Arabidopsis thaliana: one gene and its partners. The protein of the gene in region 1 interacts with the protein of each later gene in a pairwise test. Each region holds a gene or a part of one and is shown on either strand. Other genes may lie near its edges.

Region 1 (7,550 bases):
AACAAAGAAAGGTAGCCAGAAATATTATGATTCATTCATTTGTAACACTAACAAACCTCACAGGTCACTGAACATAGAACCAATTAAATATTAGAGATGCATTTGAACGGTGGTGGAAATCAATGAGCTTAGTTGGGATACTTACAATGCAAATATGATTTCGGTAATCAAACCAGTTCTTCATCTGTACACAGCTGCAAGGACAAAGCAGAAATGAAGAAACTGAGCAATGATATACACCTCTGAAGGAAACGATGTCATCAACTAAAGTCTAGAAGATAAATAAATACCGTGTGCGGCCTTTATCACTCTTAACAAGTTTCTGAAGTACATCAATTTCAATCATTGCTGCATCCCGGTATTTCTTAATGCTTCGAATTATCTTTATTGCCACATATTCTTTTGTATCACGATCCCAACATTCCAAAACCCGACCAAATGTGCCTACAACACCAGCAAGTTCACTGAAATGGCACGATTTGATTCACATAAACATTTTTTTTATCTCGAACACACCATGCCACTTGACAGCTAACCTTCACCCATCTTGCTAAGTATTTTATCTGTCAAAAGTCAAAACAGAACACACAATAGCGTAAGTTAAGCAATTAAAAATGTTCAGGAAGGATTCTCATCCCAATGAAACGAAAGCGAAAAAAGATTATCCCTAAGGCAATGGTGCCAAACAAAACAAAGAGTTACTAGCAACAATACACATATAGAAGCAACATAGGTAAATATCTTAGCTCACATAGAATAGAAAGTTAGCAACTTTATCCATCAAAAACTCACATCTAGGAGTGAGATTGTCCCTCAAACTGAAAACATAATGACCATCACGATCATCGTCCCTTAATGGTGGTGACAAAATCCTCCCATCGCTTCCATGTCCTTTAATCACAGCCCTTTTAGCCTATCACAAAAAAGTCAAAATTCATTCATTGTCAGCATATCAAAATCTCACCAAAGAAACATAAATGCTCGGTCTTTCCTCCACATTCTAAACCCTAATTCGAAGTTCTAAATGTCAAAGATTAATTAAAAAAAGAAGAAGAAGAAAGAGGAGCAACCTCTGGTTCAGCTGGGGCCTCGTCCCAGGTCATACGAGGACGTTTCCTGACTCGTTCTTTATCCATACTCTCGAATCCGTTAGCTATCATCACCGACGCGGAAAATCGATCACCGACACATCCAGAACGGAATCTGATGCCAATCTGCAGCTAAAAGAGGGAAAATTTCTACCAGAAACTCTTTACGTAGATGTAATCACAAGGCGGCGAATCGGGGAGAAGGTGATAATCTCCGAAAATGGTGAAAACAGAGGAATTGCTAGGGTTTGGAACTAGAGAGAGTGCAAGAGAAAGACAACTCCCAATAATTTTACCGGCCAAATCCCTTGGGGTCGAACCGCGACGACATCCACCAATTGCATTTTTTTTGCACTTTCCACCGAAAAAATTGGGTCTACACGATCACCCGGAATGTTTCGCCCACCCGGCCCAAATGAAATGTGGTGAGATCTTCTTATAATCTTGGCCCAAATTTCCATCATGGATCTTAAACGTTCGTTTCATTGTTTCTTGGATTTTTTTTCATTAACTGGTCCATCTCAAAATGGGCTTCCATAAAAATGGGCTTTTTTACAAAAGGGTTTTGTTTCATTAATTGATTTTCGTGTTTTTTTATCCGTAACAATTATGCTTTCGTTTCCTAATTTATACGAGCAAACGTAAAAATGTATAGTATTTGACTATTTGGTTTTACGTATCAACAATCAACAACATACTGTACATCAGTACATACACAATTTTTTTTTAACATACACAAACTTACTTTATGTACAAATGAACTATTAAGAAATGGCTTTAGCCTTGTTATTGCATGCATCTTCTTAATTTGTGTATGTGAAATTCTTCATAGGAGCTAATTAAGGGACGAAGACAAAGTGTATCCCCCTTCATGTATTACCTAAACGTATCTTAGAATTTCAAAACATTGTTTTCCTTAGAATTTTTTAAAAAAATTGTAAACATGCACATCCAACACTGGAAAGTGGAAAGAAGTATATATATATGATATGTTATCTCAAAAAAACTGAAATGATTGTATTAAAAACATACTAAATTCTGACTGATGATAGATATTGATACGTAATTCATTTGTTTATTATTGTTCGTTTTGTTTTCAACACTACTATTCCTGTCACGGTCTCATTTAATAACAACAACAAAAAAGACGTCAAGATTTGACTTTTGAGTTCCTCAATTTTTTCAACTCCAGTATTTAAACAGCTAATTATTACATAATTTATCGTAAGAAAAAAAAAAAAAAAAACCTTATCCCCCTGATATTGTAGATCTCGATTGTAATCACTACACCTGATGCCACATTAAATACACACAGAGACGTAAATAAGAGTCAAAAAAGTCGATGAAGCCTTCTGCATATATAACAACAAAGTTGAATATATAAAGAGTAAAATTCATCATACTACAATCTTGAAAAATTATAATTTATTAGATGGTTAAGTAAATTTGTTTTATAGTATTGTTATATTCTTTTTTTCCAAAAAATATAGGGAAAACAAAAACCAGTAAAAAAAAAAGTCAACTTAATTTGCTCACCACCTTCTTGATCATCTAAACACCTCTTTAATAATTCAAAACTAAAAAAAAAAGGTATAAATGAAAGAGACAAAAGAGGGAAGTATATATCATCAAGCTTGAAGAAGAGAGAGAAGAAGAAGAAGGAAAAAAGAATGTCTACGACGACTACTGAGGCGAGATCACCGTTGCCGTTGTTGTTGAGAAGAGGAAGGTCTTCGACGGCGTTATCGGCGTCGACGGCGGAAGCAAGATCGCCGTTATCGATACTGCAGTTCAGAAGAAGATCGAGCAAAGATGTGAGGAACATAACGTCAGTTTCGAGCAGTCTCTTGCCTGCTTTTGGGACTTTCATCGAAGATGATAATCCTTCTTCCAAACCTTTCATCGTTCTTCACTTTGATCGTCGTTACAGGTTCATTTCTCACTAACTAAACAACGAAGAAATGTTTTTTGGTTATCAAACAATAAATAGTGATTTACAGATTTCATAACTTTTCTGTTTCTATTAGTCCATAAATTAATGATCAAATGATTCGTTCATTAATTTTCATATTTTTACGTCTTAAAATTGTTATTTCTTATTAATATTCATATATCTTAATTTTTTTTTAATCTTTCCATATAAAAATTAATGGTAGGTTGTGGGAATTGTTTTTGGTGATATTGGTTGGGTATTCGGCGTGGGCATCTTTGTTCGAGTTGGCTTTCGAGAAAGCTGCCGAAGGAGCGTTATTGACCATTGATCTCGTCGTTGACTTCTTCTTCGCCGTTGATATCATCCTCACCTTTTTTGTTTCCTACTTGGATAATACTACTTACCTCAATGTCACCGACCACAAGCTCATCGCCAAACGGTAACAAATCAATTTGTTTTTATATGTTAAAAAAATAACATAAGTAAAATGAATAAGTTAGAATTGAATTATATATGTTGTGCATTATTATAGGTACTTGAAGAGCGTGGCTTTTGTGATGGACGTAGCATCAACGTTACCCATTCAATTCATTTATAAAACTATTACCGGAGATGTCGGACGAGGCCAAGCTTTCGGCTTCCTTAATTTACTCCGCCTCTGGCGTCTCCGTCGTGTAGCCGAACTCTTTAAAAGGTTTTTTCTTTACTACTTTCTATATAATATGCAATATTGAAATCCACTTATCATATAGTACATATGTGTGTGTCTATTTTACACTTCCTTTCTTTCTTTTTTTAACAGACTAGAGAAAGACGCACATTTCAACTATTTCGTGATCCGAGTCATCAAACTTCTATGTGTAAGTTTTACTTATATTGAATTATCTATATGTGGTCCATACAATCACTAAATTGGCTATGTCAATCTATGACTTTTATTCAAATTGTGAAATTTGATTCAGGTAACGATATTTTGGATACATTTGGCGGGTTGCATTTTATACTGGATAGCCTACCATTATCCAAGGCCTACGGATACATGGATAGGATCGCAAGTTGAGGATTTTAAGGAAAGAAGTGTATGGTTAGGGTACACTTACTCAATGTACTGGTCCATTGTCACACTCACTACCGTGGGTTACGGTGATTTGCATGCAGTTAATAGCCGTGAGAAGACATTCAACATGTTCTACATGCTTTTCAACATTGGCCTCACTTCTTATATCATCGGTATCATGACCAATCTAGTTGTCCATGGCGCTCTTCGTACATTCGCCATGGTATATAATCATTCATTGCTTAAACCCGAAAAGATTGTTTACTCATTCATTTACTCTACCAGTCGTACAATAATCATTCTTCTGCTGAACAGAGGAGTGCGATCAATGATATATTGCGATACACAAGCAAGAACAGGTTACCGGATACAATGAGGGAACAGATGCTTGCACATATGCAGCTCAAGTTCAAGACCGCGGAGTTAAGGCAAGAAGAGGTTCTTCAAGACTTACCTAAGGCCATAAGATCAAGCATTAACCAACATCTATTCCGCTCCATCATCGAAGAAGCTTATCTTTTTAAAGGATTCCCCGAAGGCCTCCTCGTCCAGCTGGTGATCGTCCATCAACAATTCCATTTTCTTTTGTTCCTTGTTAAACAAGGCAGTGGTAATTCATTCTTCTATGTTGTTGTTGTAGGTTTCGCAAATACAAGCAGAATATTTTCCGCCGAAAATGGAGATAATCTTGCAGAATGAGATTCCAACGGATTTCTACGTAATTGTATCTGGAGGAGTGGTATGATATATCTATATATCCTCTACATACTCATTCATTTATCCCGAAAAGATTGTTTACTCATTCATTTATCCCGAAAAGATTGTTTACTCATTCTTATTTATATTTGACTTCAACTGATTAAAAGAAAATTTGCAATTTTAGGATATAATTGCTTCCAAGGGTGTGAGTGAACAGGTAAAACTCTGAACAAATTTCAGTTATAAGAAAAACACATTTCATAAACTTAAAAGATTGAGATAGAGTATGAAGAGTTGGTTGATAAATGGTGAAGGTATTAGCGAAGTTAGGTCCCGGAAGTATGGCAGGAGAGATAGGAGTAGTGTTCAACATTCCTCAGCCTTTCACAGTGAGGACACGTCGACTTTCACAAGTTATCAGAATTGGTCATCATAAGTTCAAAGAAATGGTGCAGTCTGATAATGACGTCGACGCCAAAATGATCATTGCCAATTTCATGACAGTAAGTTTACATTCACAAAACGGTAGTAACATCAATATAGTGTTTATATTGTAACACTAATAATTAATGTTTCTTTCTTTAATTTCAGTATCTTAAGGGATTGAATGATGAGTTAAAAAAAGAAATTCCTTTTCTTAGAGATTTATTAGATGACGCAGATGCTCAGGTTCAGGTATATATACCTTCTTATAACAAATAATGCATAGTCCTCTCGTCAAAATTGTCAAGTGAGTTTGAGATGAAAACGCATTTTTTGGTGACAGGAAACAGTTCAGTCAGAGGAAACACCACAAAGTAACGATGAGGAAATAGTTACGGTCTCAAGACATGAAAATGGACAGAGTAAGAAGACATTTTTTTTTGTTGAAGACAGAGTAAAATGAACATGTTTTTTTGTATGTATAGAGACCCTTTTTTTAACAATGACATTTGATTGCAGTAGAAGAGAGAAGAAGAGAGGGAGTTCCAAAAAGAGTGATAATTCATGGACAAGCTCCTCCTAATCAAGATAACAAAAACAATGGTGATTCCAACGGTAGACTTATCATTTTACCTGACTCTATCCAACTTCTATTCGACTTAGCTGGTCAGTTTCACTCTTATGATGTCACTTCTCTTTACTTATACATTGAAAGTTTTTTAAAATTTAATATACTTTATATTGAACTCATAAAACTATGGTGGATGCAGAGAAGAAGTTGGGGAAACGAGGAAGCACGATTGCAATGGCAGATGGTGCACATGTTGAACAAATTGATGCTCTTCGAGAAAACGATCATTTATATATTTTCTAATTCGTTTATAAATATATATATTCACAATTATCACTTCCCACACAAATAATGATACAAAAAAAACTATATTTTTGTTAGCGTAAGGTGCTTATGAAAAGATGCAAAGTCAGATATATGAAAATATAAGGTGAAGATCGAATTCCCAATTCCACTATTATGAACTTGCTTCTTATCTTTTTGACATCTTGAACTTAAAATTATGTTTGATTGAAGATTGCATTAGCATACAACAAAAGTACCATTGTTGCATACATTTTAGCATTTTCTCTTATTACTGAAACAATTCTCTTTAAAACATTTGCATCAACGGCTACTTATAAAGTAACTAAAAACCATAAAAGCAGTGAACACTGGAGAAGATTGACCTATCAATAATGGTGATGATCATTCTCAAATAGGGGGTCTCCTGTTCGATATTCGTCATTGGATGGCAAAACTATCCAACGTCACTCTTCTCCACGTCAATCGTGAACGAAATAGTGCTGCAGATAAGATGGCTCAATATGTTTTGTCTACTACTACTCTGTATCAGTCTTTTATTGTTCCTCCTCGTTTCTTACTCTCTTATTTGTATCAACCTTATACAATCTAATAAAGTTGTAGTAGTAGTTGTTAAAAAAAAAAGAAAATAACAATTATTTCATATTTTACACTGCATTGTACATCAAAGACTTTTATTTGTATATTCGGTAACAACCAACAAAAAAAAAAGTATTTGAAAGGAAATTCTTAGTTCGAAACTCAAATAACACAAAAAAATAACCATACAAAAAAGATTAGCTAAGGACTCTTTTGTATAATTCTTTATAGTAAAAAAAAAAAAAAAGACAAAACAACAGTGGAGACTATTATCTAAGTACAACTTTAAAATGTCGTGAAGCTTCTCAAGTTGAAGTAGTCTATGCTCTCTTTTCCTTCAAACAAGAAGAAAACTTCTCAAGCAGCCATAAGACCGATGCCCTTTCCCCTTCTGCTATGCTTTTCTACCGCAAATTCCGAACATGACACAGATGCAGATGGGAGGAAACTTCTGTAAGGACTCCTAGAAAACAGAGGATCAGTTCATTTTTAGCTGGATTTGGCGATGGACTTGCACGAGAAACTCCACATACGACGGGCCGCTTGCTGTCCTGTCCTCTACCATATACGAGAGAAACAACATTCCTGAAAAGTACCAAATATCATAAGAACAAATCAGCATCGACAAGGTTCTATGAAATCAACACCGAGTAAGCAAAAATAAATGTTCATTTCGCAAAATAATATTAGATGACAGGATCTAAGCTGTTACTATTAACGTAAGACTGATAATGTCGCAAACAAGAAAAGATAAATAACATGTATCCTTTGTAGTTAGTGCTAAGATTTGGAATCCGTCCATTATTACTCACCTGATGGTTCTCCCTTCTTGCACAATTTTATTCTGAGTAGATAAAACATAAAGACATTGGAAGGATTAGAGGCTGGAAAAGGTTC
Region 2 (4,156 bases), on another chromosome or scaffold:
CCGAGCGTGGTTCGAACTACATCTCCAACAGCAGTGCAAGCGTTGATGTTGCTTACTAGTTGCGCTTTGCCCTGAGATGTGTCCGTCCCTTCCTTCAGCAGTATGATCTGCGGTTGCTGCTCATCAAACCAAAACCAAAGTAGTGGCACGTTAGTCAGTTTATAGCACAGAGAGTGAGATAGAGAGAGAAAGTGTGTGTAGATGCGACTTACCATCATCGATGCCATTGTAGATGCGTGACGAAGAGCTTCAGAGATGTGAAGAAAGTGAGAGAAATGGAGCAGAGAGAGAGAGAGAGGGGGGGAGTTAGGGTTTAGGTCTTCTGTTGTTCATATAGGAGCAACTAGATCGACCGATGTTCTTAGAACCGGACCGGCCGGTTGAACCGATAATTTCACTTAAAACGCAGCGTTTTATGGTCTGGACCCCACTTAGAAAGTCATAATTAAATTATTTAAAAGTTTCTCCATGCTTTTTTAATGGAGTTAAATTATGCAGACACAAAATTATGTAAAAATTGGCTTTCGACGCATATATTTGTTGATTTTTCACTTTTGCTCTGTTAATTTAGAATTTGGTAAACTCTAATGTGGAAAGGATGGCAATGGAGGTGGCTCTTTTGGGAGGAACTCAAAAGGATTATACTTTTTGAAGCAATACTTGTTGTTTGTAACTAAGCTACATGATAAATCAAAGTTTAATTAGTCATTAGTCTCTCTAGACAATTGTTCTTATATATTATGTGTTCTAACTTCTATCAAAACTATAAGGACAATTGACAAGTTATTAAACATAACGACTACAAAGTACAAACCATTAAACTACATAGTACAAATCTGATCAAAAATATGTTTGCTTTATTGTTGTTAATTATTTACTTTTATGTATCTATATATTTAACACTTGAACTCAGAGAATGCATCCTTTGGAAGACCACCACGACCACACGCATTGTTAACGTTGCGAGCAGCTATCTTTAGCTTGGGGGACTTGAGAAACAAACACATACATTTTTTTTTCATTATCATATTATAACAACAACGCTCATAAATGTAACCGTGAGTAAAGAATTCAGTTTTGTCTATGCACCATTGCATGTCCTTTTCACAATTACCCACACCACCGGCTACTTTGATGGGAGCCGGAAATGACGTCATGAATATGACCAAGGCAATGGACATCAATGGGATGATCTTCATGTCTGATTTATTAACCTACCAGCTGATGACAAAATATCTCAAATCAGGAACAATTAGTTTTGCAAAAATGTTGTATATTTTTTGTTTGTTTGAGATCTTTAAATAGGAAACTTGGAATCAACGATTTATACAACATATGGGTATCCTATAGATTAGGGAGGAAAGTGATTCTATTTTTATATGGTTGTTCATATTGAACATTTGACTTGTTCTTTATGTATATCGGTGTATGGTTGTTAGGATGTTGTATATCTTACAAATCGAACAATCGAAGTATTACAATTGCTTTCCGGTGCTCAAAGACTGGGCTATGGGTTTAGGCTTGGCCCTTTAACGGAGAAAAGCAAGGATTTGGTGGGCTTCTTTAAATTTGGTTCGATGGACGATTCTAAATTATGTAAATTAATTTGATATACAGTAACATTTTTGTTTTTTTAAATGTTTTCTGCTGAAGTCAATTTATCAATAAGTGTTTCGTATGGGCTAATGTATCCTTTGGATGATAAACTTAAAGTATCCAAAGCCGACAAAATAAAATTTTAAAAATCATTCAAATTACGAATGTTTTTTTCTTTCTCCAATTTATATATGATTTTGGGATCTGTTACCGTATATACTTACACGTACGGGACAAGGGCACACGGTTTCGCTTTCAACTTCACCTTCCCTTCTCCGCCATTGTTACTTTCTCAGAAGCTTCCAAGTCAACCAATAGAGACTTACTTGTTTGACTTCTTCCTCTCTTACCTCATAATCCTCCTTTTGGACTTTTCAATAAAACCGCCTACTTGAATCTGTACGACTTCTTCTCATTTTTCCATTCTTTAAGTCTTCCCGTTGATTCATTCCGATCTGAAATCTCTCTCTAGATTTCTCTATTTTTCGAATTTTAAATGAACGATTTGTTTTCCAGCTCATTCTCTCGCTTCCGCAGCGGAGAACCATCCCCTCGCCGAGACGTTGCCGGCGGTGGCGACGGAGTTCAGATGGCGAATCCCGCGGGATCAACCGGTGGTGTGAACCTCGACAAGTTCTTCGAAGATGTTGAATCTGTGAAAGAAGAGCTAAAGGAGCTAGATCGGCTCAACGAAACACTCTCTTCATGTCACGAGCAGAGCAAGACGCTTCACAATGCTAAAGCCGTTAAAGATCTCCGGTCTAAAATGGACGGTGACGTTGGAGTCGCGTTGAAGAAGGCGAAGATGATTAAAGTTAAACTCGAGGCGCTAGATCGTGCCAATGCTGCTAATCGGAGTCTCCCTGGCTGTGGACCTGGTTCTTCCTCCGATCGAACCAGGACCTCTGTCCTCAATGGTCTCAGGAAGAAATTGATGGACTCTATGGATAGTTTCAACCGATTGAGGGAGCTTATCTCGTCCGAGTATAGAGAAACTGTACAGAGGAGGTACTTCACCGTCACCGGCGAGAATCCGGATGAACGAACCCTAGATCGACTGATTTCCACTGGTTAGTTTAATCTTCCATTCAAATCACTTCCAGATTCAAGTAGAATCATCATCTAGGTTAACATATGATGACCAATTGGTTTCCGAACACTGATTCCAGGCTTCTTAGTATACAGTGTTGTGGTTGTGAAGAACAGTAACTTCAGATTTTGCGTTTAGACTATGAAAATGGATTTGTATATCTTATGTTGTGCTAGTTCCTAGCTGTTAGAGCTGGAATTGATCTCTGGATACTTAGACATGTTGTTACATGAGTGGTGGTGCGACATTGATACTGTTTTTGTTGCAGGAGAGAGTGAGAGATTCTTGCAGAAAGCAATACAAGAACAAGGAAGAGGAAGGGTGTTAGACACCATTAACGAGATTCAAGAAAGGCATGATGCGGTTAAAGACATTGAGAAGAATCTCAGGGAGCTTCACCAGGTGTTTCTAGACATGGCCGTGCTGGTAGAGCACCAGGGAGCTCAGCTTGATGACATCGAGAGTCATGTGGGTCGAGCTAGCTCCTTTATCAGAGGCGGAACTGACCAGCTACAAACCGCTCGGGTTTACCAGAAGAACACGCGAAAATGGACATGTATTGCCATTATTATTCTCATCATCATCATAACTGTTGTGGTTCTTGCTGTTTTAAAACCGTGGAACAACAGCAGTGGCGGCGGCGGCGGTGGTGGTGGTGGGGGTACCACTGGAGGAAGTCAACCAAATTCAGGGACACCACCAAATCCTCCTCAGGCAAGGCGTCTATTGCGTTGAAGTTGAAGTTGAAGTTGAGTTTCGTTATTTGCATATATATTCTTTCTTTGAAAAACCTTATTATCAAACCAGCTTTGTGTTACTACTTTCTACTGCTGGTTTGTTGTTAATCTCCCGTTTATTTGGTTTTTGTGAAAGAATTTAAAATGTGGGTTAGATGAGAAAATTAGTACAACATTCTCTTGTATCTATGTTTGCTATATGGGTTATATTTACTTGATGTGATTTCAGGGTTTATCGTTTCTTGTTCTATTTGGTTGAAGTATATGAGCCATTTCAAACCAAACGAGGTAATACCAACCGATAACACAAAAACTTCATTAGTCTTGGCATTTTCCAAGTTCGAATATGATACTAAATCTAGACTTTGATGCTATGATTTGTTCTGGGGTGTACTCTTAACATTTTGTTGACTTTTCAGTTGACTGATATGTTGATCCTACTGTGATACTTTTCTTTCTTTTTTTTTTTTTTTTTTTTAATCCCAATTCTGATTCAGATTACAGAAGTTTTCAAGTCTCAAGAACAGTAAAGAAGATCAATATACGTACAAGGGTTACAAACTTGCATTATCATACAAGAAGACCAGTTTTCCAAACACTACCTTAAAACATAACAACAAAACAAACAAGATCATCATCATCATCATCATCATCATCATCATCATCATTTCATCAGATGTTGTTGTAAGCTACAGAGACCAAGTGAGGAACTTTACCATCATCAAAAGGCAAG
Region 3 (4,277 bases), on another chromosome or scaffold:
TAAGACGTTATAATCATGTTCCAATGCATCCCCTCAGTTTTGTGTTAAAAACGAGCCATCAATGTTATCATATATGGAAATCATTATTGAGGCTTTGACCAATTAATTATGCGAATTGACCGACTTTGATCACTATACAGAGCAAAACAAATCCACTGAATCATTTATTTGTGTAGGTTCATCTTTTTTGGGCACCGTATTCATTTCTTATTCCATGAATTTGACGGAGTAATTTTGATTTTCTTTTTCGAGTAAGAATCTGGTCAAATATTCGATGAACCTCTACAAAAAAAATTAACCTCTATAAAAGTGTAGATTAACCAAGTGTTTCATCACAAACCATTTCAACGTAAACGAAACAACAACTACTACTCTCAACTTTACACTCTCTTGATAAGTCTCGATGATGAATAACATGAAGCTCTTGATCATCGCTGTGATGATCATCTCGGCAGCTTTGCTTCCAGCGCTTGTGGTCGGATCTCGTCCGGTAAAATGTGACAATTGCATGGACGGTGGAGAAAAAGAAGAGATCATGAAGATGAGTTCAGGTGTAGATGTGAGCCATAGGATACTTCAAGCTAAGAGATTTATAGATTACGAAGCATTGAAGAAAAACTTACCAGCCAAACCAGATGGTAAACCGGATAAACCGGATAACAAATACCGACGTGGTTGCAGTGCCGCTACAGGATGTTACCGCTTTACAAATTAAACATAAACCACCTCTCTCTTCTTCTTCTTCTTCCTTTCGTTGGTGTGTTTTATTTTATTTTTAATTAGTATTTCCAATCACATTTCTTATTATTATATTTTATTGCAATTTGTAAGCCTTTGAGGCATTATCTCCTAGAGAGTTAGAATAAACTTCGTTTAGAAATTGTCATCCTTTTCTCACCAAATGATTGACGAGTGAAAATTGATCTCATCGTAAAGTATTTTTGCGGTCAAGTTCAAACAAATTGATCCCTTCTCTCGCACCATATTCTTGTTTTATTTTATTTAAACGATCGATATATTTCCAAACCATTCCTCCAAAACTATCACACATTCACACCTACCAATTTCAACTTTAAATACAAAATATAGTCTTGTTGTAAATATAAGATACACTTTAGAAGTGTACACGTGAAATTCAGGTATATATATTACAATAGTAAGCAACCTCTAAGTACAATTAAATCAAGAAAAAAATAGATTTGAATTAATAGGAGCGGACATGGGATGCATGTAGAATTGTAGATTATCATTTATTATGGTGACTAGACCATTGAACTTTCCTATAACTTTGAAAATATTCTTATTTAGTCATTTAATTTAGATTACACCAAAACCCCAAATATGCCAAATTTTCTACAAATACCCCAAAAAAGACAATTTATAAAATTATTATCCAACCACATGTAATAATCTTTGATGACTTTTAAGTTTTAAATTTTAATAGTAGATTTAGATAATATAGGAACCAATTATTCAAAGGTCAAAGTTCAAACTAGCTTATCCAAATTCATTTTCGCTGATAAAAATACGTTGAAACTATCAAATAACAAAATACCATTACACCAACATCACCAACTTTTTAAAACCCCACAAGTTGATTATTTGAATTTGCTTTTAGGTCCTCAAGTTCAAGATTGTTTCAATTTGCACAATCTGCATAAATCTTTCTGAAATATAACTTTTTTGCCCTCTAAAACTCAAGGGTTTGATTTTTCTTCTTCAACTACGTTAAGATTTCTCCTACACTTTTCTTTTTCACCGTATTCTCTTTTAGTCCTCGATTCTCTACGCGTTTCAGCGTCAAGTCTTCTAGATCTCTAAAGCCTTCGTGCTCGCCAATATAAATCTCTGAGATCGGTCCCGTAAAATCGGATTCGCGTCGTTTTTGAGTAAAAAAAATGGCGCAACAATCGTTGATCTACAGTTTCGTCGCTCGTGGTACCGTTATCCTCGTTGAGTTCACAGATTTCAAAGGCAATTTCACATCAATCGCTGCTCAGTGCCTTCAGAAGCTTCCTTCTTCTAACAACAAGTTTACCTACAACTGCGATGGTCACACGTTCAATTACCTCGTCGAAAATGGATTCAGTGAGTCAAAATATTGCTCGATCTGTAAGCGTAGCTTGTTTGTGTTTTGATTTATCCATTGTTTGAATTAGATTTTTTGCCTAATTGAGAAATATGAATCGAGTTCTTATGTTTGGTATAGTTTCCAGTAATAATTATGTATTGGCGTTGATAATTAATTGATGTTAGATCTATGGTAATCAGTGATATTTTTGGTGGATCTATCAATGAATATTTGCAATTTTTGTTCTGGATCTATTGATTCTTTGCTTATTTGCGTGTAGCTTTCGATATCATGAAGTTTTTGGCATTAGTGTATTGTGTTCTTTATGTAACTCTGTTTTACTAAACCTAATTGGGTTTTGGGTGATGTTGATGGCGGATATGGTCTCTTTATGATAGTGTTAACTTTCTTATCAGCGATATATTGATGAATCTATTGCTTTATCTCTTAATATAGAGTTTAAAATGGACCGGTTTTGTTTTCGTTTGTGCAGCCTATTGTGTTGTTGCAGTTGATTCTGCTGGGAGGCAGATTCCTATGGCTTTCTTGGAACGAGTTAAGGAGGATTTCAACAAGAGATATGGTGGTGGAAAGGCTGCAACTGCTCAAGCAAACAGCTTGAATAAAGAATTTGGGTATGTGTTTTTTGATCTCTTTGATTGGTATTGAAAAGGGTCTATGATTCATGGGCATAGTTATTGATGGACTTCTTTTTGGCTTCTCTAAAGGTCGAAACTGAAAGAGCATATGCAGTATTGCATGGATCATCCTGATGAGATTAGCAAGCTTGCTAAGGTTAAAGCTCAAGTGTCTGAAGTTAAAGGTGTTATGATGGAAAACATTGAGAAGGTTTGATTCTGACCCTTTTTTCTTTTTATCGATATAGTTTTATGTTGTAAACCTTTTCGAACAGAGTTCAGCTTGTATGACTTTAGTACCAGGATCTTATGATTCGTAAAGCATAAACTGTAGAGAGGAATGTTTTATTCTCGGTTGTGAAGACATATTCTGTTGTTAACTCGTTTATGCATTCGTTTGCAGGTTCTTGACCGTGGTGAGAAGATTGAGCTTTTGGTTGACAAAACAGAAAACCTTCGCTCACAGGTTTGTTTTCTAAATGGTTCAAAGTCAATAGACCCACACAGAGACATGCAAGAGTTTGCAGCTTTCTCTTACTGATTGTTGTTTCTTGGGTTTCTAACTTTAAATTTGAACTCGACTTTATCACAGGCGCAAGATTTTAGAACACAAGGAACTCAAATGAGAAGAAAGATGTGGTTTCAGAACATGAAGATAAAGCTCATTGTCCTTGCAATTATCATTGCCTTGATTCTCATCATCATCCTCTCAATTTGTGGGGGATTCAACTGCGGTAAATAAGTCTGGAACATTTCTTCCCGGCGTTATCGACTGCGCTCTGTGCTTCCCAAGATCTCTGAGAATATCTTCATTCAGTTCGTTGTGCTACCTTTTTGTTTTGTTTTTGTTTTTGTGATTTCTATATTCTCATACTATATGTTTCTTCTTAGATTGTACTTCTTGAAATTTGTTTTGTATAGGCTATATATATTATACATATATGTATGCATGTTCGACAATCTGCAATGTTGCTATTGCTGGTACTGACACTAATTCTTGCAAACCAATATTTGGACGATACTTGTTCTTGGCAATTTACTAATTTCTTTGGTCTGTTGATGAGACTCTAGTTGCGGATTGCAGTGAGGTATAAGCATAGTCCACAGCCGGTTAATATTAAATGGAGATGAATATGTAATTAACACGGTTTCGTCTGACCGATTCACCAGAGTCTCCGGTTAGTTCATTAAGGGTTTGCTCAAACGCTTTCTCCTCTGCTTCCCTAATTTCGGAAACATTCGCCTGATTTTCTGAGATTTTGGAATTTCTTCGAATTGATTGCCATGCTGAGCTCAAGATTTCGACTGCTGAAATCGAGGCGACTTGCGGAGCCACCTCCGGCTGATGTCGCGGTTATGTGTATTTGCAGGAAATGAAAGTGATCTCCTTATTGCGGCAAATCAGCCACTTCCTGTCGACTAAAACTGTGGTGCAGCATGTAAGAACAAATGCAAGTTCGGACAAACGTGTTGTCTTGGTCAGTGGTTTTACTTGGCTTAGTCTTCGATTCTCTACGCGTTTCAGCGTCAAGTTTTCTAGATCTCTAAAGCTTTCGTGCTCGCCGATA

What was found. Proteins that work in one complex are often made in the same cells at the same time.
Region 2: the proteins of KAT3 (region 1) and SYP121 interact in a two-hybrid assay, tested with the Arabidopsis thaliana proteins (2 studies listed by BioGRID, with this or other methods).
Region 3: the proteins of KAT3 (region 1) and SAR1 interact in a two-hybrid assay, tested with the Arabidopsis thaliana proteins (one study listed by BioGRID).

Annotation. Positions count from the first base shown.
Region 1 is NC_003075.7:15,750,006-15,757,555, reverse strand, and holds KAT3 (potassium channel protein), read left to right. Parts: upstream 1-2,508; 5' UTR 2,509-2,758; coding exon 2,759-3,018; intron 3,019-3,244; coding exon 3,245-3,460; intron 3,461-3,553; coding exon 3,554-3,715; intron 3,716-3,823; coding exon 3,824-3,881; intron 3,882-3,983; coding exon 3,984-4,301; intron 4,302-4,393; coding exon 4,394-4,633; intron 4,634-4,718; coding exon 4,719-4,817; intron 4,818-4,961; coding exon 4,962-4,994; intron 4,995-5,091; coding exon 5,092-5,280; intron 5,281-5,368; coding exon 5,369-5,452; intron 5,453-5,543; coding exon 5,544-5,622; intron 5,623-5,719; coding exon 5,720-5,866; intron 5,867-5,970; coding exon 5,971-6,074; 3' UTR 6,075-6,285; downstream 6,286-7,550. Other genes in the region: AME3 (Protein kinase superfamily protein), read right to left, coding at 146-194, 291-444, 537-563, 793-913, 1,071-1,160; AT4G32640 (Sec23/Sec24 protein transport family protein), read right to left, coding at 7,132-7,238, 7,466-7,497. UniProt on the Arabidopsis thaliana protein: Probable modulatory (alpha) subunit of inward-rectifying potassium channels. Could mediate potassium uptake from the soil solution by plant roots in association with AKT1.
Region 2 is NC_003074.8:3,728,805-3,732,960, reverse strand, and holds SYP121 (syntaxin of plants 121), read left to right. Parts: upstream 1-1,709; 5' UTR 1,710-2,092; coding exon 2,093-2,666; intron 2,667-2,954; coding exon 2,955-3,421; 3' UTR 3,422-3,656; downstream 3,657-4,156. Other genes in the region: AT3G11830 (TCP-1/cpn60 chaperonin family protein), read right to left, coding at 1-116, 213-227; AT3G11825 (Bifunctional inhibitor/lipid-transfer protein/seed storage 2S albumin superfamily protein), read right to left, coding at 897-1,199; AT3G11810 (uncharacterized protein), read right to left, coding at 4,096-4,156. UniProt on the Arabidopsis thaliana protein: Vesicle trafficking protein that functions in the secretory pathway. Together with SYP61, regulates the post-Golgi trafficking of the aquaporin PIP2-7 to the plasma membrane, thus modulating cell membrane water permeability.
Region 3 is NC_003071.7:14,042,959-14,047,235, reverse strand, and holds SAR1 (synaptobrevin-related protein 1), read left to right. Parts: upstream 1-1,692; 5' UTR 1,693-1,898; coding exon 1,899-2,112; intron 2,113-2,564; coding exon 2,565-2,706; intron 2,707-2,799; coding exon 2,800-2,920; intron 2,921-3,112; coding exon 3,113-3,175; intron 3,176-3,301; coding exon 3,302-3,451; 3' UTR 3,452-3,777; downstream 3,778-4,277. Other genes in the region: RALFL18 (ralf-like 18), read left to right, coding at 404-715. UniProt on the Arabidopsis thaliana protein: Involved in the targeting and/or fusion of transport vesicles to their target membrane.